Saccharomyces cerevisiae S288C: one gene and its partners. The protein of the gene in region 4 purifies or fractionates together with the protein of the main gene of each other region. This does not show direct contact. Each region holds a gene or a part of one and is shown on either strand. Other genes may lie near its edges.

Evidence for each region.
Region 1: the proteins of NGG1 (region 4) and SGF73 purify together in Saccharomyces cerevisiae (affinity purification with mass spectrometry; 6 studies listed by BioGRID, with this or other methods). This does not show direct contact.
Region 2: the proteins of NGG1 (region 4) and SPT3 purify together in Saccharomyces cerevisiae (affinity purification with western blotting; 6 studies listed by BioGRID, with this or other methods). This does not show direct contact.
Region 3: the proteins of NGG1 (region 4) and SGF11 purify together in Saccharomyces cerevisiae (affinity purification with mass spectrometry; 6 studies listed by BioGRID). This does not show direct contact.

The regions. Positions count from the first base shown.
Region 1 is NC_001139.9:374,479-383,045, reverse strand, and holds SGF73 (deubiquitination module subunit SGF73), read right to left. Parts: upstream 5,438-8,567; coding exon 3,464-5,437; downstream 1-3,463. Other genes in the region: MRH4 (ATP-dependent RNA helicase), read left to right, coding at 1-1,523; ALG2 (GDP-Man:Man(1)GlcNAc(2)-PP-dolichol alpha-1,3-mannosyltransferase), read left to right, coding at 1,775-3,286; NPY1 (NAD(+) diphosphatase), read right to left, coding at 5,791-6,945; mitochondrial 54S ribosomal protein bL12m MNP1, read right to left, coding at 7,375-7,959; DNA-directed RNA polymerase II core subunit RPB9, read left to right, coding at 8,219-8,567. UniProt on the Saccharomyces cerevisiae protein: Component of the transcription coactivator SAGA complex. SAGA acts as a general cofactor required for essentially all RNA polymerase II transcription. At the promoters, SAGA is required for transcription pre-initiation complex (PIC) recruitment.
Region 2 is NC_001136.10:1,252,507-1,260,209, forward strand, and holds SPT3 (transcriptional regulator SPT3), read left to right. Parts: upstream 1-6,189; coding exon 6,190-7,203; downstream 7,204-7,703. Other genes in the region: GTPase-activating protein SAC7, read left to right, coding at 31-1,995; E1 ubiquitin-activating protein UBA2, read right to left, coding at 2,431-4,341; IAT4 (Iat4p), read right to left, coding at 4,852-5,550; SHE9 (She9p), read left to right, coding at 7,395-7,703. UniProt on the Saccharomyces cerevisiae protein: Component of the transcription coactivator SAGA complex. SAGA acts as a general cofactor required for essentially all RNA polymerase II transcription. At the promoters, SAGA is required for transcription pre-initiation complex (PIC) recruitment.
Region 3 is NC_001148.4:459,741-466,761, reverse strand, and holds SGF11 (SAGA histone acetyltransferase complex subunit SGF11), read right to left. Parts: upstream 801-7,021; coding exon 501-800; downstream 1-500. Other genes in the region: ELC1 (elongin C), read left to right, coding at 1-118; CAM1 (translation elongation factor EF1B gamma), read right to left, coding at 1,114-2,361; DIG1 (Dig1p), read left to right, coding at 2,923-4,281; mannosyltransferase complex subunit MNN9, read left to right, coding at 4,796-5,983; Arf family GTPase ARL3, read right to left, coding at 6,203-6,799. UniProt on the Saccharomyces cerevisiae protein: Component of the transcription coactivator SAGA complex. SAGA acts as a general cofactor required for essentially all RNA polymerase II transcription. At the promoters, SAGA is required for transcription pre-initiation complex (PIC) recruitment.
Region 4 is NC_001136.10:809,206-817,832, reverse strand, and holds NGG1 (histone acetyltransferase NGG1), read right to left. Parts: upstream 3,382-8,627; coding exon 1,273-3,381; downstream 1-1,272. Other genes in the region: E2 ubiquitin-conjugating protein UBC1, read right to left, coding at 308-955; mitochondrial 37S ribosomal protein mS35 RSM24, read left to right, coding at 3,681-4,640; HMO1 (Hmo1p), read right to left, coding at 4,983-5,723; ARG82 (inositol polyphosphate multikinase), read left to right, coding at 6,201-7,268; SUP35 (translation termination factor GTPase eRF3), read right to left, coding at 7,452-8,627. UniProt on the Saccharomyces cerevisiae protein: Component of the transcription coactivator SAGA complex. SAGA acts as a general cofactor required for essentially all RNA polymerase II transcription. At the promoters, SAGA is required for transcription pre-initiation complex (PIC) recruitment.

The DNA of each region.
Region 1 (8,567 bases), on a different chromosome or scaffold from region 4:
AGGCCAAAGGCAAAAAAGGTAACAAAAAGAATGACCCTGACCAAGCATTCAACTTTGGAGAGTATGGTGGATTGAAAAAAGACGTCGAGATGAATATGGACAGTACGAATAAACTCATTCAAAAAATATCGAATTTCGACCAATTGCTTATACTTCCACCTGTCAGAGACGCTGTGAAAGAAATCATTTCCAAAGAGTCCCTGAAGCTACAAGATAGTAGGAAAAAAACCAGTGAAAATATAATACCGAGTCCCATTCAAACAGTGGCCATTAAGAGAATATCCAAAAATTTAATGGATCCAAAGTTACAAATACATGCGATTGCCGCTGAGACAGGTTCAGGTAAGACCATGGCCTACTTGATACCTTTAATAGACTATTTGAAAAGACAGGAGTTGGAAACTCCCGAATTATGGGAAACATTAAGAAAAAACGTTCTGATTCGGTCCATCATACTGGTGCCTACGCATGAATTGGTTGACCAAGTATACGAAACTGTTTCCAAGACGAAAACCTTGTTAGGCTTAAACTCTTTCAAGTGGGACAAGGCCACATCATATCGTGATTTATTAGAGAACATTAAAAATAGAATAGATATTTTAGTCACTACTCCGGGAAAACTACTGAACCTGTTCTCCATAAGAATGATAACTAGACCTGATAAAGTCTTGTCCAAAGTGGGTTTCGTAGTACTAGATGAAGCTGACACACTTCTAGATAGGTCATGGCTTGAAGAAACGCACTCCGCAATAAAGAGAATTCCTAACATTAATCACCTTATTTTCTGTTCCGCTACTATTCCTCAAGAGTTTAATAAAACAATGCAAAGACTATTTCCTACAGTGGTTCCTATAATGACACCCAGACTGCATAAGTTACCATTCGCTTTGGACTTTAAAGTTATAAATTCTGCCTTAAGTCCTTTCAAGGGATCCAAGATCAAAGCATTGGCACAAACTTTATATGCTATTTCAAATGATGACACGGAACCAGGGTTCGAGAAAAGATGCATTATCTTTGTTAACGAAAAAAAGAATGTTCCTGAAATTGTTAACCTATTGAATAAGAAATTCGGTCATAATGCCATCGGTTTAACTGGTGAAGATACATTTGAAGAAAGATCCGAGAAAATTATGCCCTTTTTATCACCACCGCGACCACTTTCGGAGGTGGTTGCTCAGAGTACTTCACCTCCCACTTCCTTGAAGAAATTTGAAATTCCTGATTCCAACATCGTCATCGGCAAATTGAAAAACACAAATTCTAATGGTACCGCACCCAGTAACAAGTCTTTGCATGTACTCGTAACCACCGACCTCATGGCAAGAGGGCTCAATTTCAAAGGTGTACGGAATGTTGTTCTCTACGATGTACCCAAAACGTCAATAGACCTGATACACCGAGTGGGCAGAACTGCTAGAATGAAACAGGGCGGCCGCGTATTTATGCTAACTGACAGTAAAACAAAATCTTGGGCTAAAGCTCTTCCAAAGATCATCAAAAAGCACCAGAGATTATCATGATAAATGTATATTCTTGTAAATATTATAACATATATACGAAAGGGTCACAATCACAGATACAATTTATAGATCGAGAGCCTTGCGTATAGCTTCTTTTTTTATAAACAAGTGCCTGGCTAGATGAACGCGCGAACAACAAAATAAATGATGTATTCATTTTAACATCAAAAGATTACGTTCGCCATTTAAGAAGTCACGAAATAGATACAGTAGTAAAGACAGATAAAAAAGAGTCGATTAGACAAGCAAAAATGATTGAAAAGGATAAAAGAACGATTGCTTTTATTCATCCAGACCTAGGTATTGGGGGCGCTGAAAGGTTAGTCGTCGATGCAGCATTAGGTCTACAGCAACAAGGACATAGTGTAATCATCTATACTAGTCACTGTGATAAATCACATTGTTTCGAAGAAGTTAAAAACGGCCAATTAAAAGTCGAAGTTTATGGTGATTTTTTACCGACAAACTTTTTGGGTCGTTTTTTTATTGTTTTCGCAACAATTAGACAGCTTTATTTAGTTATTCAATTGATCCTACAGAAAAAAGTGAATGCGTACCAATTAATTATCATTGATCAACTGTCTACATGTATTCCGCTTCTGCATATCTTTAGTTCTGCCACTTTGATGTTTTATTGTCATTTCCCCGACCAATTATTGGCTCAAAGAGCTGGGCTATTGAAGAAAATATACAGACTACCATTTGACTTAATAGAACAGTTTTCCGTGAGTGCTGCCGATACTGTTGTGGTAAATTCAAATTTCACTAAGAATACGTTCCACCAAACGTTCAAGTATTTATCCAATGATCCAGACGTCATTTATCCATGCGTGGATTTATCAACAATCGAAATTGAAGATATTGACAAGAAATTTTTCAAAACAGTGTTTAACGAAGGCGATAGATTTTACCTAAGTATAAATCGTTTTGAGAAAAAAAAGGATGTTGCGCTGGCTATAAAGGCTTTTGCGTTATCTGAAGATCAAATCAATGACAACGTTAAGTTAGTTATTTGCGGTGGTTATGACGAGAGGGTTGCAGAAAATGTGGAGTACTTGAAGGAACTACAGTCTCTGGCCGATGAATACGAATTATCCCATACAACCATATACTACCAAGAAATAAAGCGCGTCTCCGATTTAGAGTCATTCAAAACCAATAATAGTAAAATTATATTTTTAACTTCCATTTCATCATCTCTGAAAGAATTACTGCTCGAAAGAACCGAAATGTTATTGTATACACCAGCATATGAGCACTTTGGTATTGTTCCTTTAGAAGCCATGAAATTAGGTAAGCCTGTACTAGCAGTAAACAATGGAGGTCCTTTGGAGACTATCAAATCTTACGTTGCTGGTGAAAATGAAAGTTCTGCCACTGGGTGGCTAAAACCTGCCGTCCCTATTCAATGGGCTACTGCAATTGATGAAAGCAGAAAGATCTTGCAGAACGGTTCTGTGAACTTTGAGAGGAATGGCCCGCTAAGAGTCAAGAAATACTTTTCTAGGGAAGCAATGACTCAGTCATTTGAAGAAAACGTCGAGAAAGTCATATGGAAAGAAAAAAAGTATTATCCTTGGGAAATATTCGGTATTTCATTCTCTAATTTTATTTTGCATATGGCATTTATAAAAATTCTACCCAATAATCCATGGCCCTTCCTATTTATGGCCACTTTTATGGTATTATATTTTAAGAACTACTTATGGGGAATTTACTGGGCATTTGTATTCGCTCTCTCCTACCCTTATGAAGAAATATAATGTCTACTTAAATAAATAATGTATACCCCCCGAAGAAAAAATAATTTACATTGGAGAAGAAATCTCTAAATGCAAATAGCGTAACTTGTCCACAAACATAGACGTGTACATGTTACTTCGGCGAATAATTTTTTATTACTCACTTCGTGAACATGCTGGATAACGTGCATGATTCAATTAATTTATTCTGCCATTGTAGGGGTTCACAGAATTTCCAATACCTACTTCAATTCTCCCGTTATTGCCAGAGACATTAATACCGGTAGATACACCTTGCCCGGAGCCATTGACGCTGTTGACACTAGGGGGAGATTGGATACTATTTACGCTAGTATTGGGAGAGCTTATGGAGGCTTTCATCGTCATGAGGTTATTGTTACCGTTTTTACTACTATTATTGTTGTGGGTGCCAGATAAATGGCTATCTTGATTTGATTCTTGCATTAATTTGGTAGCGTTGGCTAAATATGAAGCAGCAGCTTCAAACTTCTGTTGTTGTAGTTGTTGTTGTCGTAGTTTTTGTTGTTGTGATTGTATCTCCAGCGGCGTGAGACCTGTGTCTTGAGACTTGTGCTGCTGCTGCTGCTGCTGCTGCTGAATTTGCTTGCTCGACACATTGGCATTAAATGATGAATTCGTTGCCCCGCCGGGGAAATGATTGGGCACCATACCTTGAGTAGGTTGTTGGGTACTGGCCTGGGCCTGCGCTTGGGGTGAGTGATGTTGCTGCTGCTGTTGCTGCTGTTGCTGTTGTTGAGAAAGAAGCTGAGCCTGTAGAGCTCTCTGTTGTTGTAGTCTTTGTATTTGTTTCGGATTGAGGTTTTGGTTTGTGAGGTGATTAATTGGCTGTGGAGTCCTAACACGAAATTTGTAATCTGTTGTTCTATCCAAATCCAAGCATCCTACACGAGAATGGATCGCACCGTAACCTGGAGATGTATATCCTGGTTTCACAGAAAAGGAGGAAGCAAACATTTCCCTCATTCTAAAATATTTAGTCCTGTATCTAACTGACGATAGTACCGTTGACTCTAGTGGCAGTGGGAAAGATCGGGATACCCCATTTAGAACCTGTGTTGTTTCCTCTTCAGGAGTTAGGTTAACGTGTCCTATCTCATTGATATTGTTACCATTGTGTACAGTACTCTTACCACCATTTTTGGCTGATTTCCCACCATTCACATTTCTTTGCTTAGACCTTTGACCTTGTTTCTGTTGCTGAGTATGTTTTTTCTGCTCTTTTTGTATCTGCTTTTGTAATTTTTGTAATTCTTGTTGCTTAGCACGTTTCTCAGCAGCTGCACCAATTTTTGTTTGATGTTCTCTATGATAATCTGCTAGCAAGACGTCGTAGGGCTTGGAACGACCAGAGACAGCCCTCTTTGCACCCATTGAATGGGACTTACATGTCAGCGAACGTGCACAGTAACCACCTTCCGGCAACTCTACACCACACTGTTTGTTGAAATCAATTAAATGCTTTTCAGTTGGGTTTCTTTGTTTGACTTTCTTTTGTTTTTTTATGGAAGAGCTGAAGGTTTGAGGAGTCCCAGTTTTCGATCTTTTCGTGTCCATATTTGGTGTGTTCGCAGATTCCATAGATGTGGATCTTTTCAAAGGGTTAAAAGAAGAGTCATTCTTCTTGTAATTGGCACCATTGGAATTATCGTCGTCATCATCAGCGTCATCATCATCTTCGTTGTCGTCGTTATCGTCATCATCATCATCATCATTGTTATTATCATTGCTATTGTCATCGTCGTTATTATTTCTCCCAGTTGATTCTACTCCATTTCGTATCGTTTCCCTAGTACTCTCATCTCTTGGATCTGTGCTACTTTTTCCAGATGCTCCCGCACAATGGTTTTCTAAGTGGTCTACAATTGCTGTCAAAGCTAAGGGTTTCCCACATTTTTCGCACACTCTATACTGAATCGGTTTATCCAAAGGATCTTCAATGAGTTGTGCATTCGGATTGAAGTATTTTTTTAGACTTTCGCGATTCATGTGATCATACTGCAAAGGAGTGTCCTTCGCGGACGACATTAAACTTTTCCATGAATCGTTGGAAGGACCACTTCCCTGAGATAAAGAATATTCCTCAATAACTTTGGGCTTAATTCCTTTAATCTCTGCATCGCCTGACCTCATTTTAGCTCTTTACTCTTTTGCGCTTCTCTTGTGTGTTCACTATTCTTATTTTTTTGGTTTATTCCGTTTTGGTAAATTAATCTCTAATGAGCGATGCTGGATATCAAAAAGGTTCTAAATAGTAATTTAGAAATTATTTTACAGCTATGAACAACTATATACGCTCTTCAGCTCCACTTTCTTCTGTTCGTAATGATTTTTGTTTCAAAATTGCTTGTACCAGCAATCTAACATCCTATATTCATTCATTTAGCATTTGCATTATGACGCACCTCTGTTTTCTTCGGGTAACTGAGTGAAAAATATCCATATGCTGAAGCACGCCTATTTATCAATGTTTATTATATTAAAAACTATAGATGGCTCGATGAGGTCTTACGTAAGTTTTTATAGTTCTCGCAAACATGATTGATTAATTGGAAGGCAATGGTAGTACTTCCAGGTAAATTGATATCATTTTTGAATGGAACACGATACCCGCCGGCGTACTTATCCAAAGCTTGAATGATTTCAGTTGTATCAAACCATTGAGCATCCAATAATTCGTCGTCATGATTCAGGTTGATAACCTCATTTTTGGAATTGAATTGAACTATGCCTAAACAGCCAATCATCAAACTGCAAGGGTAAGGCCAGGGCTGTGACCGGACTATATCAATATTTTTGCATGAAATGCCTGTTTCCTCCCATATTTCTCTGATACAAGCCTCCTCTATGGTTTCTGATGGCTCCATAAAACCTGCTATTGTTGAATACAATACAAAATCACCGTACCTTTTTTTTGATCTTGCCAGACAACACTTAGAGTAATCCGAATTGGTCAAGGCTATAATGACCGTTGGATCAGTTCTTGGGAAGCAAACGTTATTAATTCTTGCATCTCTCACATTACAGTATACATTCCGATTTTCATTAGAACACTGAAGCTTAGTTCCTGCCTCTACTGGGAATAACGGAGACCCACAACCGGGACAGAATTTGTACTTTGCTAGCCAATCCAGATACATCTTACCTTGTGAATAAAGTGAAGCATCCTCATTTGTTTGTTTGAAAATGTGATCTCTGGTCACCTTCGGATAGGAAAAAATAGGCTCAAAGTCGACTTTCTTGAAGAGTGTGCTCTCAGTAACACGGATATCTAATCCAAAATATGGTGTTCCTTTGTAAGAAATATTAGACCATTCAAAATTAAATGCAGAATCTGTGCCTTCCAGGAGACCTAAAAATGTTACATTGATGCCTGATTCATCGCTTCTTGAGCGAGTTGTGTTCAATAAAGTAGTGTATAAAGGAACTATTGCTGACAAAATATTCTTGTAAGACTTTACAGAATTAGAAAGCTGAACTAGGTCACCATTTTCGGGCGAAATGAGGGCTTCCCCTTCGATAAATGGGATAAAAACGGTAGAGTCATGGTTCAATGATTTTTTGATGAACTCTTTCGAACATCTTAAGAACGAAACTCTGTTCAAGACATGCTGGCCAAAAAAAGTCACAGCAGTGGACATTCTCTCAACTAACCGTAGCGTAATCAAAAAAAAATCAGGAGCAAAAAGGTACAATCTTTATCTTCTCTTTCGTTTCGCTCCTGCTCTTGTTCTTTATTCTTATGGTTGGTGGGCTTTATATTTCGAAGAAAAGCAACCGCTTTTGTAAGTTGGAAAAGTAGATTTATGAAGTGATAGATTAGCCCGTCTGAAATACTTATAACACGAAAACGAATGCCATAATGAAGTTGAAGATACTATAGAAAATAATAAGGAAATCAATCATTTTTATACATCTACTTGCAAGAAGCGATGTGGCAAAATATATAAAAGGCAGGACGAAAGAAGAATAAAGAGTTAAACATATTTACATGATATATTCCTTATTTTCTCGAAGAGAAAACAGACTATTTTGATTAACACGATTGGTAGATTGCTACAGTTTTAAAATCATTCTAAACTGACCTTAGCTCCTAAGTCTTCCAAGGTTTTCTTAATCTTTTCAGCATCATCCTTGGCGACATTTTCTTTCAAGACCTTTGGTGCAGCTTCAACGAATTTCTTAGCTTCAACTAATGAAAGCCCCAATAATCCCTTGACTTCCTTGATGACTTTAGCCTTAGTCTTCGTGTCGAACGAGTCCAACTTCACCGTAAACACGGTCTTTGCCTCAGGCTTAGCTTCTTCTTCAGCACCACTACCAGCTTCACCAGTGGAGCTAGGTACATTACCAGCACCTGCGCCTGCAGCGCCTGCCATGAATCCGCCCATAGGCATGGAAATTTCTGGAATGTTCAATACGGTTTTCAGCTCGTTGATTAAACTGGAAGTTTCCAAAAGAGTCAATTGTGAAATGTCCTGTACAATTTTAGAAATTTTAGGATCAACTGGCCTTACATCATCCTTATGTGATGGTGCTGTTGTAGTCGTAGAATTGAAACGGGTTGTGATAGTAATAGGAGAAATTAGCGCTGGTGTAACGCGCGTTTTCATCCAGATAGAAGAAGATCTCTTCGCTAGTATACGTAAGGACATACTGGGCGCTTATTTAATTGACTGTGTTTGCTGCTGACGGGCTGCTTGTCCTGTTCCTTCCAGAACTTACCGAGTTCTTGTTTGCCATTAGTTTGAGTTGTTTTATTGGACTTCAAGACATAGGGCGGGTAAGTTGAAAAATTTTGTTTTGGTGAATAGCGTTAAAGAGTAAGTCAAATGGAACAAGAGCAGATTCTAGGTAGAACGAAAGTTACAAAATCTAGCCAAAAGAGCAAGTTAAACTCCCCTTAAAACTGCTATGACTACGTTTAGATTTTGTCGTGACTGCAACAATATGTTGTACCCTCGTGAGGATAAAGAAAATAACCGGTTGTTATTTGAATGCAGAACATGCTCGTATGTAGAAGAAGCGGGCAGTCCATTGGTCTACAGGCATGAATTGATTACCAACATTGGTGAAACTGCGGGAGTGGTGCAAGATATTGGTTCCGATCCCACTCTTCCGAGATCTGATAGAGAATGTCCCAAATGTCACTCTCGGGAAAATGTGTTTTTTCAATCACAACAAAGAAGAAAGGATACTTCGATGGTTTTATTCTTTGTGTGCTTATCTTGCTCACACATATTTACTTCAGATCAAAAAAACA
Region 2 (7,703 bases), 440 kb from region 4:
CCACTAAGATAAACTAAAAATATCTTTATAATGCCAAATAATACTCTTAAACAAGGCTCCAAAATTGAAAATGTTTCTCCCTCTAAAGGTCATGTCCCAAGTTTTTGGAAGCAGTTCATAAACAACCCTAAGAGTATGTCATCCGAAAATATTACAGTCCCTAGATCACCAACTTCTCTTTCAAGGAATGCTCAACCAACTACTTTAAAACGGCCTCCATTATCTTCAAGACCATATTCATATAATACCCCAACCAAAGATAGGAAATCCTTTTCCAAATCCGCGAAACAGAACAATAACAATAACAACGCTAATTCCGGAACATCGCCTCACGCAGAGTTCAAAAATTACAGAGATATGTTTTTATCTAATAGAAATGGTTTCACAGGTAGGGTTTTCGGTGTTACTTTAGCAGAATCGTTGAGCGTCGCCAGTGCAGAGGTCATTGTTCAAAGTGAGTTGGTGAGTTTTGGTCGGATACCCATCGTGGTAGCCAAGTGCGGCGCATACTTAAAAGCAAATGGATTGGAGACCTCGGGTATATTTCGTATAGCGGGCAATGGTAAAAGAGTAAAAGCCCTTCAATACATATTCTCGTCGCCACCTGATTATGGTACCAAATTCAACGATTGGGAAACATATACAGTGCACGATGTTGCATCGCTCCTGAGGAGATACCTTAATAATTTGGCCGAACCACTAATACCTTTATCCCTATATGAACAATTCAGAAACCCGCTACGATCTAGACCAAGAATCCTAAGGCATATGTTGACCCACGAAGTTTCTCATCCGAATGCGAATAAAACAAATAATGTAACAGTAAAATCAAGTAGACAGAACTATAATGATGATGGTGCTAATGATGGTGACATCGAAAAGGAGGACGCTAAAGATGATGAAGAAAAAAGACGAAGAAAAATACGTCATAAGAGAAGGCTGACCCGCGATATAAGGGCAGCTATCAAGGAATATGAAGAGCTCTTTGTTACCTTATCAAATGACACGAAACAGCTAACTATATACCTACTCGATTTACTGAGTCTTTTTGCAAGGCAATCACAGTTTAACCTAATGTCTGGTAGAAACTTGGCGGCCATCTTCCAACCTTCAATATTATCGCATCCTCAACATGATATGGACCCCAAAGAATACGAGTTATCCCGACTAGTAGTGGAATTTTTGATTGAATACTCGTACAAGCTATTACCCCATCTTTTGAAGTTGGCTAAAAGGGAACAACAGGAACGGTTGTCAACCGAAAATAAGAAAAATAATGGAGATAAACAGAAAACTGATCCTATAGAAATACCAAAGATCACCTCATCGGATTCGCCACCAATAGTTTCTTCCAATAAAAACCCACCGGCGATTGACAATAACAATAAACTAGACCATACGACGTTATCGCCAATATCTACTTCGATACCGGAGAACTCATCAGACCTACAGACTTCAAAAATGTTAAAGCCTCCGAAGCAAAGAAGACCACACTCAAAATCGTTTGGTTCTACTCCGGTTCCTCCGGATGTTATTGCTAGTAATAAAAGAAGAACGAGTTTATTCCCGTGGTTACATAAACCGGGAATTTTGAGTGACACAGGAGACAATGGCGACTTAACTGCTACTGAAGCTGAAGGTGATGATTATGAAGAAGAAAATGTTGATCCATACGGTCAGTCTCCATCTAGCGTACACTCAGGTTCTTTGCCCAAACAGCATTATCTGCCAATTCCTCGAATGAACAGATCGTTGAGTGGAAACAGTACCAATTCGTCCTTTAACACTAGACCTATTTCAATGATCCTGACCAGTGGTAATGATAATTCCGCTGATCAATTAGAATTACTAAGTAACACTCATAGCAATAATGAGCGCAGTAATGCTTTACCATTAACCGAAGATGATGGGGATGAAAGAAATTCAAGATCACGCAAGAGGGAATCATGGTTTCAAAGACTAACAAGCCGTTCAGGCTCTGCTAACAGGGCTTGATAACACCATTTTTCTTTCCTTTTAATTTCCTCATTTTTTTTTTTTTCGTTATTTCCCTTAAAAACCTGTTGGCGGTTTTCTTTCTTTTTCTTTGCCTTCTGTATAAATAACAAATAAACATCATTCCCCTTTCAAGATTTATAACCATAAAGGGAACATATATAACATAAATCATGAAGAGGACAAATTACGGACAATTATTCTGTAGCGATGCTAATCAGTATAAAATAAAAGAATAAAAATTCTTAAGTTGTTAATATGCCAGAGAAATGTTACAGCTTGTAACTCTTCAATAATGAATTTCTATGTTATATGACTGGCTGTTTCATATAAGCTATAACAGGGATCATGATCATTAAGCATTTTCTCTGCAACATTTATGTCGTACACTGCGAACCACGATTAAATAAATATATAGATACCTTTTCTTATTTATTAGTCTAATTCAACAATATCAGAATTAGTCGGTTCATTAACTAACTTTGTCCTTTTGTTACTGGGCGCCTCAGAAATCTCAGTATCAACTGGCCTCTTCTTTGAACCATTGATCGGTTCAGCATCGATGGTGATCTCACCTTCATCGTCGTCTAATATCACGATACCATCTTTCCCATGACTGTTCGTAGTTGCGACTACATCTGCACCCTTTTCATTTTTTTCTTCTTCTTCATTTTTTGAAGGACTATTGTTGGCCTTTATTAATGGGACTTCAACGTCCGGTAAGCTGCAAGTATTACATGGGAGTTCATCATCAACATCAAGAAATAATTCTATGGCTTTGCGGATCATTGTATCACCTTCTTCGTCGGAGAATAATATTATAGAACCATTTCCAAGATTAATCTCCGATAAAGTACGATCGTTCAAATCCTCGAAATCGTAATCAAATAGTAACCTTTGATTACTTGCGTCCAGGAGCGAAATATCCTGTGGATATGAGTACTTCTCGCGTATTAAAACTACAAAATCACTTAGTTTCATTTTGTTCAAACAATCGCTGGATAACTTAATAACACCTCTACAAACTTTAGAGCAAACTGGGCAATTTTTATTTGGAGGGGCTAGTTTCGGATTTGATAAATAACGATTTTGGGATAGATTGCTTGCCTTTGCTGTGAAAGCCATATTCAAATCAGTATACTTAGTAGTTGGGGCATATTTCAAAAGATTTAAAACGCGCAGTGAAATCAATGACGATGCACCGGCAACGATAGCATTCGTTGTTGCAATAGCCGGGATAATGTTACCAGCAATTTGCTTGATGTCAAATACGGACTTCATTGGAATATTGAATATGTGTGACCTTATGTTCGCAGCAGTTGCGACGAATTCCAAAGTATCAGCATCATCTTTATCAAATTCAATATGATTTTGCTCTTTGGGATAGCGATCCATTAATTTTTGTGTAATATTAATGAAATTACTAATTTGCTCCTGTATTGTGCCAACAGAATTAGAGGCAGACTGAGCTGTTTTAGTAGGAGTATTTATTTGAGAGTCTGATAATGGTACTGGCTTTGTTCTCGTTTTCCATAAATTTTCAATGGCTAGCAGTTTATTTATATCCTGAATGAATAATTTATTAAGAATCTCTGGAATACGGGATGCATCTCTTGATATGATAATTTTTTGCAATTCATACAATTCATTAGTTTCTTGTTTAATGCGCTTAATTTCTTCAGCATCATCTGTACCCCAATCCTGGTTGTTATCATCTTCATTTCCAGAGGTCTCTGACGCAAATAGCTGGTTAAATAGAAAGTTTTTCGCCCAAACAATGCAATGAATTGGCTGAGAAGGAGTGGACCTGATAGTACACACAGGAAAAGTCTTTGGTGTTTCCTTCTTTGTACATTCAAAACACTCAGTTTTCCCGGGGATAATAGGCTGCATGTATCCATCAAATCCAGCTGTTCCAGATTCTATTAAGGGCAGTGATAGAAACTGTGATATTTTATTGACATACCGTCTTGCGGCCAAGTTATCAAGAGCATTGAAGATAATGTCAAATTGCTCAAACCAATGCAGTGGGAAGGTAGAAATGTCCATAACATTTCCTTGGTAAGGCACTAACTTAGAGTTATTGAAATGCTGTACTGCTTTTACGGCTGTGGTAGACTTCGGTTGTTTAATATCTTTTTGTCTAAAAAGAAATTGCCTGTTTAAGTTCGAAAGGTCAATGGTGTCCAAATCGACAATATGTATTTCACCAAATTCCATCAAGATTATATCCTTTAACAATTCAGACCCTATGCCCCCAGCACCGACCAGAAGACATCTTGAGGACCGTAATTTCTTGTAACTATCTTCACCGATGATTGTTACCAAACTTGTTTCCCTTGGCATTTTCTTTTCTTGTTTGGCGTAGCGCTCCTGATCTTGTGTGTCTGTTGAAGTACGCAATTAGTGGATTGCTCATCCAAATATCTTGATTTAGCGTAAACATACTTCGCCTTTGAAAAACTTTAACTTGAAAATAGAGTATAAAAAAAAATTGCACAAAAAATGCGGAAGCCGGGAATCGAACCCGGGCCCCATGCTTGGGAAGCATGAATTCTAACCACTGAACCACTTTCGCTAAGAAGATCTAGCTTACATAGGTTTTGTGGTAATATAAATTCTTGAGACCGTAACCGCGCAAAGAAATACCTAAAATAGTAATTGCTAACTACATCTAAAAACAGACTGAAGCTCACTAGATATGAGACTTTTCTCACATCTTCAAAATAAAGAAAACAATAGCAGGCGAAATTTTTTTGAACCTGGTTATACAGTGCATGCTCCAAAATGTCGTCTTTAAACACTACTTTTTATTCTAAATAATTACTTGAAGGGGGGAAAGAAAAAGCTCAAAAACTACTCTTTTAAGACTTTATTACCGTCCTTATGATATATCATTAAATAGGCTGTGAACCCTTCACCATTCGGATCGCAATTGCCGTTAGAGTCGACCTCACACTCACCGTATTTGAACGTCATGTAATTTCTAAATCCAAAATATTCGTACACAGATTTAGCATGCTCGGCAATAGCTTCAAGGACAATGGCGCAATTTTCTTCGTCTGCTCTCCTTTTGTACTCTTCAAAAATAGTCCTTACAGAACCTCTGATTCCTTTCTCATTTAAGTTCTTACCAATACAGAAAAGATAGTAGTAATTGATGCCATTTGGAATGACTTGCTTTACGCGAGCATTTAAATCGTCAATAAAGTCCTTGTTGAACTTTGCATCATTACTCCTTGCCTTCGGAACGTGAGGTGGAAGACTCCACACTGCAACAGCATCGAAAGTATTAACTTCGGAGATCTCACCATAAGGTGAATCCAGGAATGGCGATATGATATCGGTGGTTATTGTCCTTGTAGGCACCTTCTCAGCTAGAGGAATATTTAAGATTTTCTTGCAGATAAAATGAAACGCTGGCGAGTTACTAAAAGCAATAGACAAAGTCTCTGCTGCTCTTCTGGCATCCGTAGTCTTGTTCAGGGTACAGACCATATGGCCCTTAGCATCGTTGTTTTCTAATGGAGTTGGCAGTTTGTTCTCGAAGGACATGATGTTCGGTTACATGTCTTAGAATTATTTTCTCGAGATTAGTGAGTGACTTGGCATAATATCAGGTACAATAACTGTTATATATACGCCGGCGGCATTTCATTTTTTTCACTTATCTCAGCCCCTGGGACTCTGATGCCGTTCACACCAACGTCTGCTGTGATTTGGAGTGAAATATCTGGATACTAATAGAAATATTACGATAAAAAAGAGTTATCTACAGTTTGCTGCATTATTTTTGCGTTATCGGTCAATCAACTTTAAGAGATCACCGTACATTTCCGGCAGCATTAGCGGGCGTCTCTTAGTTTCTTTGCAATACAGTAGGAACTCCAATTTTTTGTTCGTCTCCTCGCTACATTCAGATTCAACTGCAATCTCGAAAACAAGTTTTTTATGCCGCCAAAATAGGTATACATTGCGTTCAATGCATTCTCATTCATCTCTATCGCAAGAACGTCTTGTTCAAAGCTGCCCTTTCTTGAGGCTTCAAGCGCAGCGCACAGAAAAGAAGAAAATCCGAACCATGTAATATAGATCGGCGGAAACGAAAAGTAAAAAGTAAGGTTGAAGACACTCTGAACCCGGGGAAGAGTGCATACAAGGTACCGTGCCAAAATTCAAGAGATTAGGGCAGGAATGATGGACAAGCATAAGTATCGTGTGGAGATTCAACAGATGATGTTTGTCTCTGGTGAAATTAACGACCCACCCGTAGAAACCACATCACTGATAGAAGATATAGTGAGGGGTCAAGTGATAGAAATTCTTTTACAGTCAAACAAAACGGCGCATCTTAGGGGAAGTAGGAGCATTCTCCCTGAAGACGTCATTTTCTTGATCAGACACGACAAGGCCAAAGTCAATCGTTTGAGAACATATCTGTCATGGAAGGATTTGCGTAAAAACGCCAAGGACCAAGATGCTAGTGCCGGTGTAGCGAGTGGCACTGGAAATCCTGGGGCAGGTGGTGAAGATGATTTGAAAAAAGCAGGTGGTGGCGAGAAAGACGAAAAAGATGGTGGAAACATGATGAAGGTCAAGAAATCCCAAATTAAGCTGCCATGGGAATTGCAGTTTATGTTCAATGAACATCCTTTAGAAAATAATGACGACAATGATGATATGGATGAGGATGAACGAGAAGCTAATATAGTCACTTTGAAAAGGCTGAAAATGGCTGACGATAGAACACGAAACATGACTAAAGAGGAGTACGTGCATTGGTCCGATTGTCGACAGGCAAGTTTTACATTTAGGAAGAATAAAAGGTTCAAGGACTGGTCTGGAATTTCGCAATTAACTGAGGGGAAACCCCATGATGATGTGATTGATATACTGGGGTTTCTAACTTTTGAGATTGTCTGTTCTTTGACGGAAACAGCTCTGAAAATCAAACAAAGAGAACAGGTATTACAGACTCAAAAGGACAAATCCCAGCAATCTAGCCAAGATAATACTAACTTTGAATTTGCATCATCCACATTACATAGAAAGAAAAGATTATTTGATGGACCTGAAAATGTTATAAACCCGCTCAAACCAAGGCATATAGAGGAAGCCTGGAGAGTACTACAAACAATTGACATGAGGCATAGGGCTTTGACCAACTTTAAAGGTGGTAGACTCAGTTCTAAACCAATTATCATGTAAATTTTTGTATAATTTCATCATGGAGGTGCATGGGTTTCCTTCTGGTATGATAAATGTGAGCCAAATGAATTGAAAAATACAAATAAAGATTATGTACGTAGATACGCGTTATAAAGAGGACTATCTGATCATTGGGGTCTTTTTCGTTGTGAAATTGTAACGGGTGAACTCAGTGATTAAAAAATTGCGTGATGTTGAGATACTATGGGGCGACAAGAAACTTACCCTTAGTATTCAGCATTAACAAATTAATGTTGAGGGCGTCATCTTTCACCAGGCCATTTCATTATAGTTCATATTCTCTACAGAACGGTGATACTCCTGATAAAGGCAGCACTAATAAAAATGAAATACGGACACCTAATAACGCTGTTTGGAAAGAAAATATAGAACTTCAATGGCAGCACTTGAAAAAGAAATTAAATGAATTGTATTCTAGGTTTAACTTCCACCGAGATCAATTATCCTTTCAAGTTAACAAGGCCAAAAAATCAATTCAA
Region 3 (7,021 bases), on a different chromosome or scaffold from region 4:
AAATTATAATTTGAAGTACAGCGGCGTTAGCGAGGACGATGATGAGATTCCAGAGTTTGAAATACCGACAGAAATGTCGTTAGAGCTGCTACTTGCGGCGGACTATTTGAGTATATAGGTACAGGAAAAACAAAAAAGAGTTAGGAACTCTTTCAAAAAATTATATTATATGGGTGTGATGTTGCAGCATATTACTCTGATATGTAGAAAATTGAATGCATTGTTATAGCGTACTTATGTGTAACCCTTCCACATAACGGAATGCAAGGTATCATTTGGCATCATATATGGGAGGTGCTATTATAAAAACATGTAGTTAATAGCTAAAACAGTTTTCGCCTTCTCTCTTTGAGATGTTACCACATAACTACATGAACTTCTATGTGCAGATATGCCGCATAAAATGTAAGAATCTTGCTTTTTTTATGAACCTATGCCCACAAGAAATGGGCTAAAATCTGTCTGTGCCTTTTCAATTACCCATAAACCACCACCTAGTGTCAACGTCTAGCACCCCTACTCAAACATCTCTGTAAATGAGCTGCTAGTCTGTTTGCGGACACATCCCTGCCACAATTCTCACAGTGAATATACTGAGAGGACTCTTGTTGCTTCTGTAGTCCATTAATATCGAGAGATCCGTTCGGGTCGAAATAATAACTGCGAAGATCCGGATATCTTGTCTTCAGCAATTGTTGTTGAGTGGTTTCCCGAGCTACAATGTCCTGGATCAATGTGGTTAACAGGTTATTCAGTATCCCATTTGAAATAGAATCTATAGTAATAGTTTCTTCGGTCATCGCAACAGGAAAACCCCGTAACCTAAAGAATTTGAAGGATTATTATACTGCTCTGCTCAACGGAAGAAACGCTAAGTTACTTCTTCGATTCCTCAGAATCAAGAAAATAAGCAAATCACTGCTATACATATAATACATGCATCTATTATATAACAATAATCCAAGATACGAAAAGGAAAACTTGATTTTTTTTCTGCGGAAGTTTCAGAGCAGAAAAACTCTGTTACCCTATATTGCGTCATAAATAAGATATAGATAAAACTACCTAGCATACTTTATAATAAAAGGCGACATGAAGGATAGTACGAAGAGATTATTTTAAGACCTTACCGTCAACAATTTCCTTTGGTTCGCCATTGACGGAAACTGGCTTATCCCAGGCCCACATGTTATTGATGAATTCTTTGTCGTCGTCGTTAGTTGGATCCAACTTTGCATAGTCGTAAGATTCCCAATCTGGTGCGACATCGAAAGCTGGAACGTAATCTTGGCCCCTAACCATAACTGCACCAACAATACCGTTGTTGTTGTTTTCACCGTAGACTACCAGACAACCGAACATGTACTTGGTAGAGGCGGACAATCTGTTGAAGAAACCACCGACCAAGTTGTTGGACATGAAAGTCAAAGTCAATTCATCGTTGTACTTGTAGGTGACTTTCCACAGGGAATACTCTTCTGGGTTGTAGTGCTCCCAAAACCAAGGTAAAGCAACTGGTCTGGTGTCTTCATTGGAGTACTTTCTCTTCCAGTCATCCAAAACGAAAGTTGACTTGCCCAATAATTCTAATGGGTGCTTTGGTTTCTTGGAAGAAGTTTCAGTTTCGGTAGCAGCTGGCTTGGCTTCCTCCTTCTTCTTCGAAGCGGCGGGAGCGGCGGCTGGGGCCTTCTTTTCCTTCTTCTTTTGAGGGGGACTCAATGGCTTGTCAGCGAACTTGAAATCCTTGTATTCATCCTTCAAGAAGGGTGAGGCTCTAACGGTGTTGAACCATCTCACGATGGCTGGATGTTGAGCTCTCCATTCAGTACCGAACAGGCTTTCAAAGTATCTGGTGAAAATCGAGGCAGCCACCAAGTCGGCCAAGGAGATGTTTTCCGTAGCCAAATAGGTGTAGTTTTTCAATCTGTTCTCGAAGATGTCGACGATCTTGTCAACAGCGTCCATCGCAGAATCAACGCTCTTCTTGTTGTAGGGGGCGCCGCCCTTCAAGGGAACGATGGTGTTGGCAATCTGGATGCACAGATCACTGTTGGCCAAAGATTGCCATCTGATGATTTGCGCTTGGGCATTTAAGTCATCGTCGGCACCTAAAAGTTGAGTCTTCATCTTGTCGTCCTGTGAAAGCTTTACTAAATAATAGTTAATCGCCATTGCCTCGGTTAGCTTGTAACCCTTTGGACCCACGAAAGCCGGAACCTTCTTCAAGGGAAAGTCCCTTGCGAACTGTTCAGCGGCGGCATCTGGCGTAACAACCTTAACGTCCAGCTTCAAAGCCTTGACAAGACCTCTTGGGACCCAAGTTCTAATTCTGAAGTTAGCATATAAAGTACCTTGAGACATGGCGTGCAAAAACTGTATCTGATCTTGAGTTTCTATGTTCTGTATGCTCTAATAACAGAAAATACAATAACAAGGAGGGAAGACCAATTTGCGGGCTGCCAAGCAACACAACCAAACCCTGCTGATAAACGAAAACAAGAAAACTAATAAAAAAATAAATAAGGAACTCTACAAGGACTACACTAATCATGTCTCACTCCCGCGGATTGAAAAAACGAAAGAAAAAAACAGGAATCAACGCCCAACGACCTGCAGCAGCAAGCGTGAGAAATTCCCCGAGTGGGTCACCGCGAGCGGAAGATGAAACAAGCAGCAGTCGGCTTGCACAGGCCTTGCATGTATGCGTTGGTGGGCCTTGGGCTTTACTTATAAGCAGCTGCTTCGCCACTTGATACGGTTGTTCTTTACATCTGTTTCTCGCTGGGGGAAGTTTATTAGGTTTAGTTTTTCCGCTTTGTGCTTTGCGTTTTTTTAGCTTATACAGAAGAAACGCACTTAAAAAGAATCAAATCAGTAACAAATTTTGGTATTGTTTCTCAAAGAAGAAAATAGAAAGTGAGAATGGCCGTATCAGCCCGTTTGAGAACGACTGCCGAGGATACATCCATTGCTAAATCAACACAAGATCCAATTGGTGATACAGAAATCAGTGTAGCAAATGCTAAGGGCAGCAGCGATAGCAACATTAAGAATTCGCCAGGCGGAAACAGCGTTGGTCAGGAGTCGGAGCTAGAGCATGTCCCTGAGGAGGATGACTCTGGTGACAAGGAAGCAGATCATGAGGATTCTGAGACAGCCACTGCGAAGAAGAGGAAAGCCCAACCATTGAAGAATCCGAAGAAATCATTGAAGAGGGGCAGAGTCCCGGCGCCTTTGAATTTATCGGATAGCAACACTAATACACACGGTGGTAATATTAAGGACGGCAACTTGGCTTCGTCTAACTCTGCACATTTTCCTCCTGTTGCTAATCAAAACGTGAAAAGCGCGCCCGCACAAGTTACTCAGCATTCCAAGTTCCAGCCCCGTGTCCAATACTTGGGAAAGGCCAGTTCTAGACAATCTATACAAGTGAATAATAGCAGCAATAGTTATGGGAAACCACACATGCCCTCGGCGGGCATCATGAGCGCCATGAACCCTTACATGCCCATGAATCGCTACATAATGTCACCATATTATAATCCGTACGGTATCCCTCCACCTCACATGCTGAACAAGCCCATAATGACACCCTACGTGTCGTATCCATATCCAATGGGACCGCGGACCTCCATTCCTTATGCTATGCAAGGTGGCAACGCTAGGCCCTACGAAGAAAATGAGTATAGTGCTAGCAATTACAGAAACAAGAGGGTTAACGACTCATATGATTCGCCTTTGAGTGGCACCGCTTCCACTGGGAAAACCAGACGATCCGAGGAAGGCTCAAGAAATTCTAGCGTAGGATCAAGTGCGAATGCCGGTCCTACGCAACAGCGCGCGGATCTACGCCCAGCAGATATGATACCTGCTGAAGAATACCACTTTGAACGGGATGCATTACTCTCGGCCAACACGAAAGCCAGAAGCGCAAGCACAAGCACAAGTACAAGCACAAGCACAAACCGGGACAGGAGTTCATGGCATGAGGCAGAACCCAATAAAGACGAAGAAGAGGGTACGGACTTGGCCATCGAGGACGGAGCGGTCCCCACTCCCACTTTTACTACGTTCCAGCGGACCTCGCAGCCGCAGCAGCAATCACCTAGTCTTCTTCAAGGCGAAATCCGACTCTCATCGCATATTTTTGCCTTCGAGTTCCCCCTGAGCTCTAGCAATGTAGACAAGAAAATGTTTATGAGCATATGTAATAAAGTATGGAATGAATCAAAGGAGCTGACAAAAAAATCATCATCACATCACAGAACCGGAAAATAGTAGCCACACAGGCACTTATAAACTTACATACACTCGCATACACTCACCTACTCACACACGCACTCACACACACACTCTCACTCGCACACCAAGGACAATTCAGTACATACACAATTTTTATATAAGTTTGATAAACTAAAAGATGAGGGTGAGTATTCACCTTATTAATAGTTACAGCCTTTATCGTCACTAGACACGACAGCATTGGTTTGTCTTTTTTTTTTTTTTTTTTTTTTCCTTTCCATCGTTGTAGCGGATTTGGCGTTGAAGTATTTTGATATAAGTAAAACAGAACACCAAATCAAGAATAATAAAGGAGGAAAAGTCGTCAACCAAGCGGATTCTCAATTGGTAGAAAAGCTTTTATTATTTTCTGTTAGCCGCTCTTGGGACCCGTTATTTCTGAACCTATTTTTCCTTCCGCACTTTGTGAAAGTAAGAAGAGAATAGCATCAATTTTAGTATTTTTCAAACAGAAGAATTTAAAAGAGCTAGAATAAAAAGTTAGGAAACAATGTCACTTTCTCTTGTATCGTACCGCCTAAGAAAGAACCCGTGGGTTAACATTTTTCTACCTGTTTTGGCCATATTTCTAATATATATAATTTTTTTCCAGAGAGATCAATCTCTGTTGGGACTTAATGGCCAGTCCATTTCCCAACACAAATGGGCACACGAAAAGGAAAACACATTTTATTTTCCCTTCACCAAGAAATACAAAATGCCAAAGTACTCTTATAAGAAAAAAAGCGGCTGGTTGTTCAACGATCACGTGGAAGATATTATCCCAGAAGGTCATATTGCACATTATGATTTGAACAAATTGCACTCTACGTCAGAAGCAGCTGTCAATAAGGAGCATATTTTGATATTGACTCCAATGCAAACATTTCATCAACAATACTGGGACAATTTGCTGCAGCTAAATTACCCTCGGGAATTGATTGAATTGGGGTTCATTACACCAAGAACAGCCACTGGTGACTTGGCCTTAAAGAAATTGGAGAATGCTATTAAAAAGGTTCAAACGGACAAGAAAACTCAAAGATTTAGTAAAATTACTATTTTGCGACAGAATTCCCAGAGTTTTGATAAGTTGATGGAGAAGGAAAGACACGCTTTAGATGTTCAAAAGGAAAGACGTGCAGCAATGGCTTTGGCGCGCAATGAATTACTATTCTCCACCATAGGACCTCACACTTCTTGGGTGCTGTGGCTAGATGCCGATATTATAGAGACACCACCATCTTTAATTCAAGACATGACCAAACACAACAAAGCTATCTTAGCTGCAAACATTTATCAAAGATTTTACGATGAAGAGAAGAAGCAACCATCAATCAGACCATACGATTTCAACAACTGGCAAGAAAGTGACACCGGTTTAGAAATAGCCTCTCAGATGGGTGATGACGAGATTATTGTCGAGGGTTATGCAGAAATTGCCACTTATAGGCCATTAATGGCTCATTTCTACGATGCTAATGGCGTACCAGGTGAAGAGATGGCGCTGGATGGTGTTGGTGGAGGCTGTACTTTGGTCAAAGCAGAAGTTCACAGAGACGGTGCCATGTTCCCTAATTTCCCATTTTATCACTTGATTGAAACAGAAGGTTTTGCTAAGATGGCGAAGAGATTAAACTACGATGTATTTGGCTTACCAAACTATTTGGTTTATCACATAGAGGAAGAGAACCATTGAGCAACTGAGCAAAAAGCATACAGAAGCTATAGCGTTATTGAAAGATAATATTGTTGCGATTATTAGTTGAAAATAAACAAAACAAGATATATATTCATATATATATATATATAATTTACACATGTATATTAAAAAATGCCGAATAAAAAGTGCTACAACAACTAATTTCTGAGCTTGAGAATAAACCATTCACATTTTATTTCTTTTGGTGCTTCTTTATCATTTATAAATCGGTGGTCTTGACTTTTTATTCCTTTCTAGTCTAACAATCATCCATTCTATAGCGTCTTTAACACCTTCTCCAGTCAATGCGCTTATTGGTAAAACCCTACTATCTCTAGCGCTTATATGTTCCGCAATCTTATTAAATACTTCTTTTATATCTTGTACTTCCATTCTATCTTGTCTATCTTGTTTATTGGCCAGCATCAAGATGGGTACACCTTCAATTTCTTCATCCATTACAACTGACTGTAGGGTCGTGGAACATTCGTCTAATCGTTCTCTATCTGAACTATCCACAATGAAAATTATACCATGACATAGGGAATAGTATTCGGACCACATTGATCTCAGTGATTCTTGACCACCTACATCCCAAAACTTCAAGATCTGTTTACTGTCAACGGGTATTGTCGCCACATTTTGTCCTACCGTAGGCTGTATCTTTTCCAAGGCTTTGAACGCCAGAGAGTATTCCTTTTTCAATGTCTCCAAGAACGTCGTTTTGCCTGCATTGTCTAGACCTAATATTAGAATTGAATATTGTTCCTTTTTATTCCAATTATTGTAAAGTCCCTTGACTAAATGAAACATGTGTGCGGTGCGCTTTATATGCTTTATTCTCCTTCATCTACTTGATTAACACATCGATCTGAATTCGTTTTTTAATTTTCCGTTTACATTTGTCTGAAAAAGGTGTAAACATATTTCTTATACTAACACTCCCATAAAGTTCAAAGTAGAAAATAGGAGGTGGGGGAGGATACGTACATATGCAAGCTACATTGACGTATCTGCTCTTAAACATAAAATAAA
Region 4 (8,627 bases):
CCTTAAAGCGATCCGCAGTCGGTCCCCTGATCGCTCGAGGGCTTCTCCTTATATAACTAAATTGCGCCTGTGTTCTTCCGAAGGTGCCCCGGAATAAAAAAAACAGCAGCGATTGGCTCAATGCTTATGGCACATAAGGTGTTTATATATTCTAAAATAACATTTAACGTGCCGTATTATTCTTTTACAGTTATGTGATCATCAAGAACACGGATGCACAATGAAACATCCTCGCTTGGTGTTTTACTCATATAGTTTATTTATTCTTTATTTACTTACTTACTTGGTGCGTTTTTTTTTTATCTATTCACTTCAACAATTCCTCGATGATACGGTTGGCTGTGTTGTTGTCATTGGGGTCTAAGGACTTGACGCCTAATCGTCTCAACACTTCCACAATCTTGTCCTTTTCAAAACCTTGAGATTCAAACTCGTCAATCAGATCGTGGTCAATCCCATATAAATCAGACTCCTCTACATTGCCTTTTTGACCATTGGAAGTTTCACTGGCGTATAACCTCGTCCATAGTGCAGCAGTCTTATTAAAAGATTCTCTATCCCGTAAATAGTGTTGTGCTACTTCTGCATCTTGAGGATCGTTAGGCTCTGGAGATTGTAGTAGCGCCTGTAGCGAAATCAATGCAGACTTTAGTGTTATCACTGGCGACCATGCATTCTTAAGAATATCTAAACAAATGGCACCTGTCACTGATGATATATTTGGATGGTATACTTTTGTGTCGAACTGCATCTTTGGTGGTTTGAATGGATACTCCATAGGTACTTCGATATCCACGACAAATTTGCCACCCTCGTAAGGTGTTCCAGGTGGGCCCAAAAATGTGCCTTTTAAATGGTGGATATCAGATTCACTCACAAATTCAAGAGTAATGTGAGCTGCAGGATCATCCTTCACAGCTTGGATTTCTTTCATAATTCTCTTAGCCCTAGACATCGCTTACTTCTTACTACTACTACTTATATATATACCACTTGTTTTTTTTAATGTATCCAACCACTAAATTACGATACTTATGTCGTCACACTTGCTTCAATTGACTTTACCTATACGCCCGCGATCGGAAGTTCATGCATTCAACTGTCATCTCATTGTTTTTGCCCCTCCAAATATTTCAGATGGAAGAAAATGTAACAAAAAAGGATATTAATGTTCGTATTATGTGACTATTTTTTTTTTTTTATGGATAGTTATCCAAATTGTTAGTTATATGCGTTATTATGCTACGTATTTTTCCTTAGAGTTCGTATATTTTAATTTAGTTCCACGTCCTTATTAGTGTTTTGTGCAAATACATCGGCTTCATCCTCATCTTCTTCTTGGTCCATGTCCTTGAATACGCTTTCATTGGGGATTCTCTTCATAATTTCAGGTTTATCAAACAATGGACCAATCTTATTAATCCACCTTTGCCTTTTATCCAGAAGGGATTTTAAACTTGAGTTTGCAGCCTTTTGTTGTGCTATTTGAGACGTGGTTCCTGTGTTCACATTATTTGAAGCTGCTGTATGATGCTTCTTTCTTTTCTTGGGTACGCGAATACGTTTGACATAAGCCTGGTCGATTTGTTTGTCTAAATCTTCTAAAATAGATGAGTATTCCTGCCATGCTAGTTGTCTTTCCACTAGTGGAATCAATTGGGCTTTCCTCTTTTGGTTTTTCTTGGTCACTTGTTTTAAAGTGCCTTGCAATTCTCTTAACTCTGCGCTTATTTCGTCGTCTTCTCTACCGGTGACCCAATCGGGGTCATCTGAGTTAGGGTTGTTCTCATCCTTAGGCAAATTCATGTATATCCCTACATACTTTAGTTCTCTTTTCAATCGTTCTTCGAATGTTGGATAGTCCAGGTTAATTCCATTTGTTATCCACCCAATTTGTTGGGGTAACGTACTTGTAGTACCGCCATTACTGCCTTTATTTTCTGCCAGTTTTGCTTGGAAAGATGCTTCCTCATCAATGTCATTGTCAGGTGTTTGAACACTGGGCCCGTTCTCCTGAGATAATGTCATGTCTACAGTATCATTGTTGTTGTTTCTAAACGATTGTATATCGTCTTCCCCTCCGGTTCTCGGTAGTCCGCCATCCCGTATTATTTTAGAAGATTGCAATTCTGATTTGTCATTGTCATCTTTTAATACAGCACTCAACAGCCTAGATAATAAGGGCCCACACGATATACTGCCCGATTCCAAAGCATTATCATCAAGTTCGTTGGCACTTTTTTTTGGTAGTATAGTAGATGCATCGTTTGAATATGGTGAAGGTTTTTTATAGGCAGAATTTTTGTCGTTTTCATCTTTGAACCAAACATCTGTGTATAAAGGGCCTAGTTTCGGTATAATAAACGGGTTTACCTCAGGGTCATAAGTTTTGTCAAATTGCAAGCTATCGGGTATAATATATTTCATCTTCAAAAACTTTAAGTTGTCATCACTAAGATCTTTGAAAAAATTTTCCACAAATGCTAGAAAGGTATTGAATTGAATTTGGTTGGTTGGTTTAGGATGCGAAAAGTCCATATCCGGTAATTCACCTGGTAACAGATCTTTCAAATCATTTGTTGGATAACTAGCTACATTGTATTTTTTTTTTAGGAAGTCTTCTCCTGTACTTTCTAGTCCCTCTTCATTGAATAAGCCGAGTGCTGCTGCTGCTCGAGGTAACGTTTGCGATACTACAAATTCTGATTTTGGATTTTTAACAGTTGGATCGTTTTCCATTTTGTCAACGTCAATTTTTTGCTTCTTATTGTCTGGCCTCTGTGTGTTTTCATTTTCAGTGGCCCTATTTTCAGTTTCAGAATCGAACGGCCTCTTTTCTCTGGGTTGATCTCTATGAACTTGTAAATCTTTGTCTTCATTAATTTCTTCTTTAGCCATATTATCAGCCGCTTGTTTGATGCTTTCTACATCGTTCTCAATTGTGCCGGAGATTTCATTAGAAGGAGGAGGTTTTGGTGGGCTTTGTACCCCTTTATCAATTATATTCGTTTCTTCAGTAGCAGTAGAACTTTCGTGCTGCCCGTCTGCATTTGAAGTTTCCTGCTTTTCATCGTTTGCTTGCTTCTCATTTTTACTGTCTCTTATTTTCCGAAGCGCTTCAATGGTCTCTTGATCACCTCGGGCAATTGTACCCAGTATTTCATTGAGACTATCCAATTGACTTTGCAATTCAAGTAAAGTTTTTTTATTGGGTATGGACCTAACACTTTTGCCATTGAGCATTCCAATATCACGCTCGAAGGTCAAATCTAAAGTTTTAAGCATTGACGATAAAAGCTTTGACGGAGTATTGTCGCCTCCCTCCTTTTTAGGAAGTTTCTCGCCTTTTGGCAGTTTTCCTCTTCTTCCATGTCTAGGCATATGTCCTGTCCAATACTTCTCGTCGCTCCGTCTTTGTTATGTTTTTCCAACTTCCTTATTGTAATCGCTACCACGAATATTTCATTTGATGGCGTTCATTTAATGACTGCCTGCCATTGTTTTGTTGTCGTCGGCGAACCTTTATCGCGTTGCACGTCGGAGCTCTTTAATGAGTTCCGCTAAGAAATTACGCTAAATGGGACCTTTTCTGTAACTGATTCTGAGTATATTTCGATCTGTGAACAAGGCAGTAGAGTTACCGAAACATTTGACACTACTAAAATACTATTCTTAGGAAGATGAAAGTACCATTGGGGTTATGGAAAGTCTCTCGGGGTAATTTGTGGAGCACCCAGAAAAGGGTTTTGACAATGTCTAGATGTTTGAACAGTGATGCTGGTAATGAAGCTAAAACTGTGAGAGAAGGACCAGCTTTTTCAGCAGATCTCTATATGCATCCCGAAAAATGGAAGGGTTTACCTCCTCAAAGAATTTTAGAGTTATATTGGGAGAGAATGGCTAGATTGGGTTCAGAGTATAAACCTAACAAAGACGAACTGAATGCCTTATTAACCACTTCTGAGTACTCAAATGTACCTGTTAACGATATTAAAAAGCTATATCACAGAGGAGAACAAGGCGCTATTGATATAAAAGGTGGAAACGTGAATCGCGATAACAGTCTTAGACCGTTTATGTTTGATGAATTGCCATCGCAAGCTCAGGAATTGGTTGCCCAACATCGTGAACAAAGGTTCTATAATCGATTAGCCGCATATGAGTTACCGCTATTAGCTCAATATCGCCAGGAATACAAGAGACCATCTCCAGAAAGTCATCCGGTCACTTATAGATACACTAGTTATGTTGGCGAAGAGCATCCCAATTCGAGGAAGGTTGTATTAAGCGTTAAAACCAAGGAATTGGGCCTGGAGGAAAAATCATTACATAAGTTCAGAATATTAGCCAGGTCGCGTTATGATCATACTACAGATATTTTTAAAATGTCTAGTGACAAATTTGAGCATGCATCACAAAATGCACGTTATTTGCATGATATTCTTCAAAGGCTGTTAGCGGAGTCAAAAGATTTGACGGAGGACGATTTTAGCGATGTTCCCCTTGACACAAGGCATACTATAGCTAAGAGTTTACGTAAAAAGAAGCGGGATTATGAGTTTCCTGAACACTGGAAACGCCCTGAAGATGCACCAAAGAAGAAATTTGATATTGTAGATCAATTATTGAGCACTCTTTAATACATGTTCAAAAACAAAAAGAACGGCCCCCCTGTATATATTATGTATTTGTTTTGCTTCCTTCTTTTTCTCTAAAATGTACATAGTTTTAGCACAATACAACATTGAGAGGTTTGAAAAGGTATAATCGCAAATTTAGAACTATATACATACATATACACAACGAAAATGAAAAGGAAGATATACTGTTACAAGAGGAGAGGGATAGATACATATATATATATATATATGTGCATACACTATGGGCAAAGCAAGCCCATGCTGCTATATTTTATTCCTTTTTTTATTATTATATTTATTTTAGAAAGACAGTAGAGTAATAGTAACGAGTTTGTCCGTCCATCAAATAGAAGAGTTGGATTTGTCCTTCTTCTTATCCTTCTTCTTCTTCTTCTTCTTCTTTTCCGAAGATCCATCATCATCGTGAGGTCTCTTTTCCACAGGAGGTTCAGCGGCGTGCTGTAAACTGAAAGGAATTGGAACCGGCGCATGAGTTGGACCGTTTTCCAAGGAAGCTGGTGGTAGGGTACCGTTTTTCTTTGCTTCTAAGTATTTGGATTTCTCTCTTTGGTAATTCTCCAACTCGACGTTGTAAGCCTGCTTCCATTTTTCTTTTTCGTTATCACTCAATTCCTTCCATTTCTTGGAGATTTCTTGAGTAATCTCAGTTGAGGATAAAGGTGGCAAGCCAGCCTTTTGTCTGTCTTCACGAAGTTCTTGACGAACGTACGCAGAGTAAGCAAAGAAAACAGTCAGTGGCTTCTTTGGAGCATTTGGATCACGTTCGATCTTTCTTCTTACAGCCTTGACTGGAGCAGCGATAATAGCATCTTTATCATCATCAATAGGGTTAACCAGCTCCGAGCTGATGCCGTGCAAGTGGTTTACACCAGAAGTCAATGTTTGCAAAGACTCAGTCAAAGTGGTGAAAGCCTCTATCTTCTCTTCTTCATCGTCGCCGATGGCATTGTAGAAATCAACAATAGAGGAGGCTGTCTGATTAGCAGCTTTTGATAACTCGAAGAGGGAGGAGACGAGGGAGTCTTTGGCGGACTTCAATTTGACAGAAGGATCTGTAGTCATGGTGTGACAGGCTTGTTGTGTGTGGTAGGATGTACATCCTAGAGTATAAGGCAGTAGACCAGCCCTGAGGGCCCGCTGGGACTAATTGGTACTTCTTGCTAAGTTCTTGAAGGAAGAGAGTGTTCCAGGCAGAGTTGCCCCCCGTGGTACTGGAGAGAATCTGAGTGAATTCCCTTCCGGAAGCTTCTCTCCGCCACAACGGTCGGATGAAAAAAAAAAGCGGGAAAAAAAATGGTGAAAAACCACGTTCTCGAAGCCAATTGGTAGATAATCGAGTCGGGTAATATTTCTCAGAAGTAGGCTGGGTAACTAAGTATCTCACCAAAATGTCTTTATACTGTATACAAATGGTGGGACAAAATGGAATAAGATAAAGCCATTGGAGATCCCTTTTTTACCAGTAATCAGTTAAACAATTTCCATTAGTAGCTTACATGGATATGTGCATACGTGTGCCTAAGTAGAAATTTTTTTCACATGGATACGGTAAACAATTATAGGGTTTTAGAGCATAAAGCTGCTGGCCACGACGGTACTCTAACAGACGGTGATGGATTGCTCATCTTTAAACCGGCCTTTCCGCAGGAACTGGAATTCTACAAAGCCATACAAGTGAGAGATGTGAGTCGAAGAAAGTCTTCGGCTGATGGAGATGCTCCCTTGTGCTCTTGGATGCCCACGTATCTTGGAGTCTTGAATGAAGGGGCAAAAATCGAGCAAAGTGGCGATGCTGCGCTTCTGAAGATAGATGAGCGGTTAAGTGATTCCACTGATAATCTTGATTCAATACCTGTAAAGTCTGAGAAGTCCAAGCAATACCTCGTTTTAGAAAATCTACTATATGGATTTAGTAAACCTAATATACTTGATATAAAATTAGGCAAAACTTTGTATGATTCGAAGGCATCATTGGAAAAAAGAGAGAGAATGAAAAGAGTCAGTGAGACGACGACTTCAGGATCTTTGGGTTTCAGGATATGTGGCATGAAAATACAGAAAAATCCCTCTGTGCTGAATCAGCTTTCGCTCGAATATTACGAAGAAGAAGCAGACAGTGATTATATCTTTATAAACAAATTGTATGGTCGTTCAAGAACCGATCAAAATGTTTCAGATGCAATTGAACTTTATTTTAACAATCCTCATCTGTCGGATGCGAGAAAGCATCAACTGAAGAAAACATTTTTGAAAAGATTGCAGTTGTTTTATAATACTATGCTAGAAGAAGAAGTTAGAATGATATCAAGTAGTCTTTTGTTTATTTACGAAGGAGACCCGGAGCGATGGGAATTACTAAATGATGTTGACAAACTTATGCGAGATGATTTTATAGACGATGATGACGACGATGATGATAATGATGATGATGATGATGATGATGCCGAGGGAAGCAGCGAAGGACCAAAGGACAAAAAAACAACTGGTTCTTTGAGTTCCATGTCACTAATAGATTTTGCACATTCTGAAATAACGCCGGGGAAGGGTTATGATGAAAACGTGATTGAAGGAGTTGAAACCTTGCTAGATATTTTTATGAAATTCTAGATATATTGAGAGGTGAAGTTTACCTTGTTTATGGTATATGGTACAAAAAGAACTAAACTAATTATACGTCTATATATATATATATATATATAACAGCTTTATTAAACCTTGTTTTTTAATATAGAAGAAAATGCTTTATGATCGGTATTATTGTGTTTGCATTTACTTATGTTTGCAAGAAATTTACTCGGCAATTTTAACAATTTTACCAATTGCTATTGTGGTACCTTGATCTCTCAAAGTGAATCTACCTAATTGAGGGTAATCTTGGTAAGTTTCCACACAAACTGGAGCTTCAGTTTCTAAAACAGCGATGACCTTCATACCCTTCTTAGCAAAAGCAGGTGGTTTCTTTGACTTACGGTTGGTACCCTTTTCTAATTTGTGCAATAACTTAACAATATGTACCTCTTCAATTGCTGTATGAACATGCATAACACATGAAAAACCGGCTGCTATGATAGATTTTAATTCTACAATAGCAATTTGAGCTACAAACTTGGTAACACTCTTGATAGGGTTCTTTGGCGATGTTAGTACAAAACCTGGTGAAATGTCTTCTTCTTCAACACCTTTGATTCTTAGTTTAACTTGCTCACCACACATAGCCATATCAACTTCATTTTCAGTTTCGTTGTAAATATTTTGAATTTCCACAGCGGTTTTGTTAGGCATCAGTAGGGTGGATTGACCCTTTTTGATATGACCGGATTCAATTTTACCTTCAACGATGGTACCTAGATCCTTCATCTTAGCGGCAATAGGCAACATGAATGGAGCATTGATGTGACGGTCGACGTGGTTCATTGTATCCAGATATTCTAACAGAGTTGGGCCGGTGTACCATGGGCATTCTTTTGGATCTACGTGATCTTTCAAATTTGCACCACTGTAGCCGGATACTGGCATAAATACAACGTCTGTCTTAATGTTGTAACCAATTGCTCTCAAGAAATTGCTGACATTACTCACACATTGGTCGTAACGTTCCTTAGACCAGTTAACGGTTGGGTCATCCATCTTATTTACGACGACAACCATCTTATTAACACCTTGGGTCTTGGCCAATAGGGCGTGTTCACGAGTTTGACCACCTCTCTCAAAACCGGTTTCGTACTCACCCTTTCTGGCGGAAATGACCAAAACACCAACATCAGCTTGAGAAGCACCACCGATCATCTCGGAAACGTACATTTTATGACCAGGAGCATCCAATATGGTATAACGCCTTTTTTCAGTTTCAAAGTAGGCCTTACCAACTTCGATAGTCTTACCATCATTTCTTTCTTCTTTGTTGGTATCCATGACCCATGACAAGTACCAACCTTGTCTGCCTGCATCCTTGGCTTCTCTTTCATA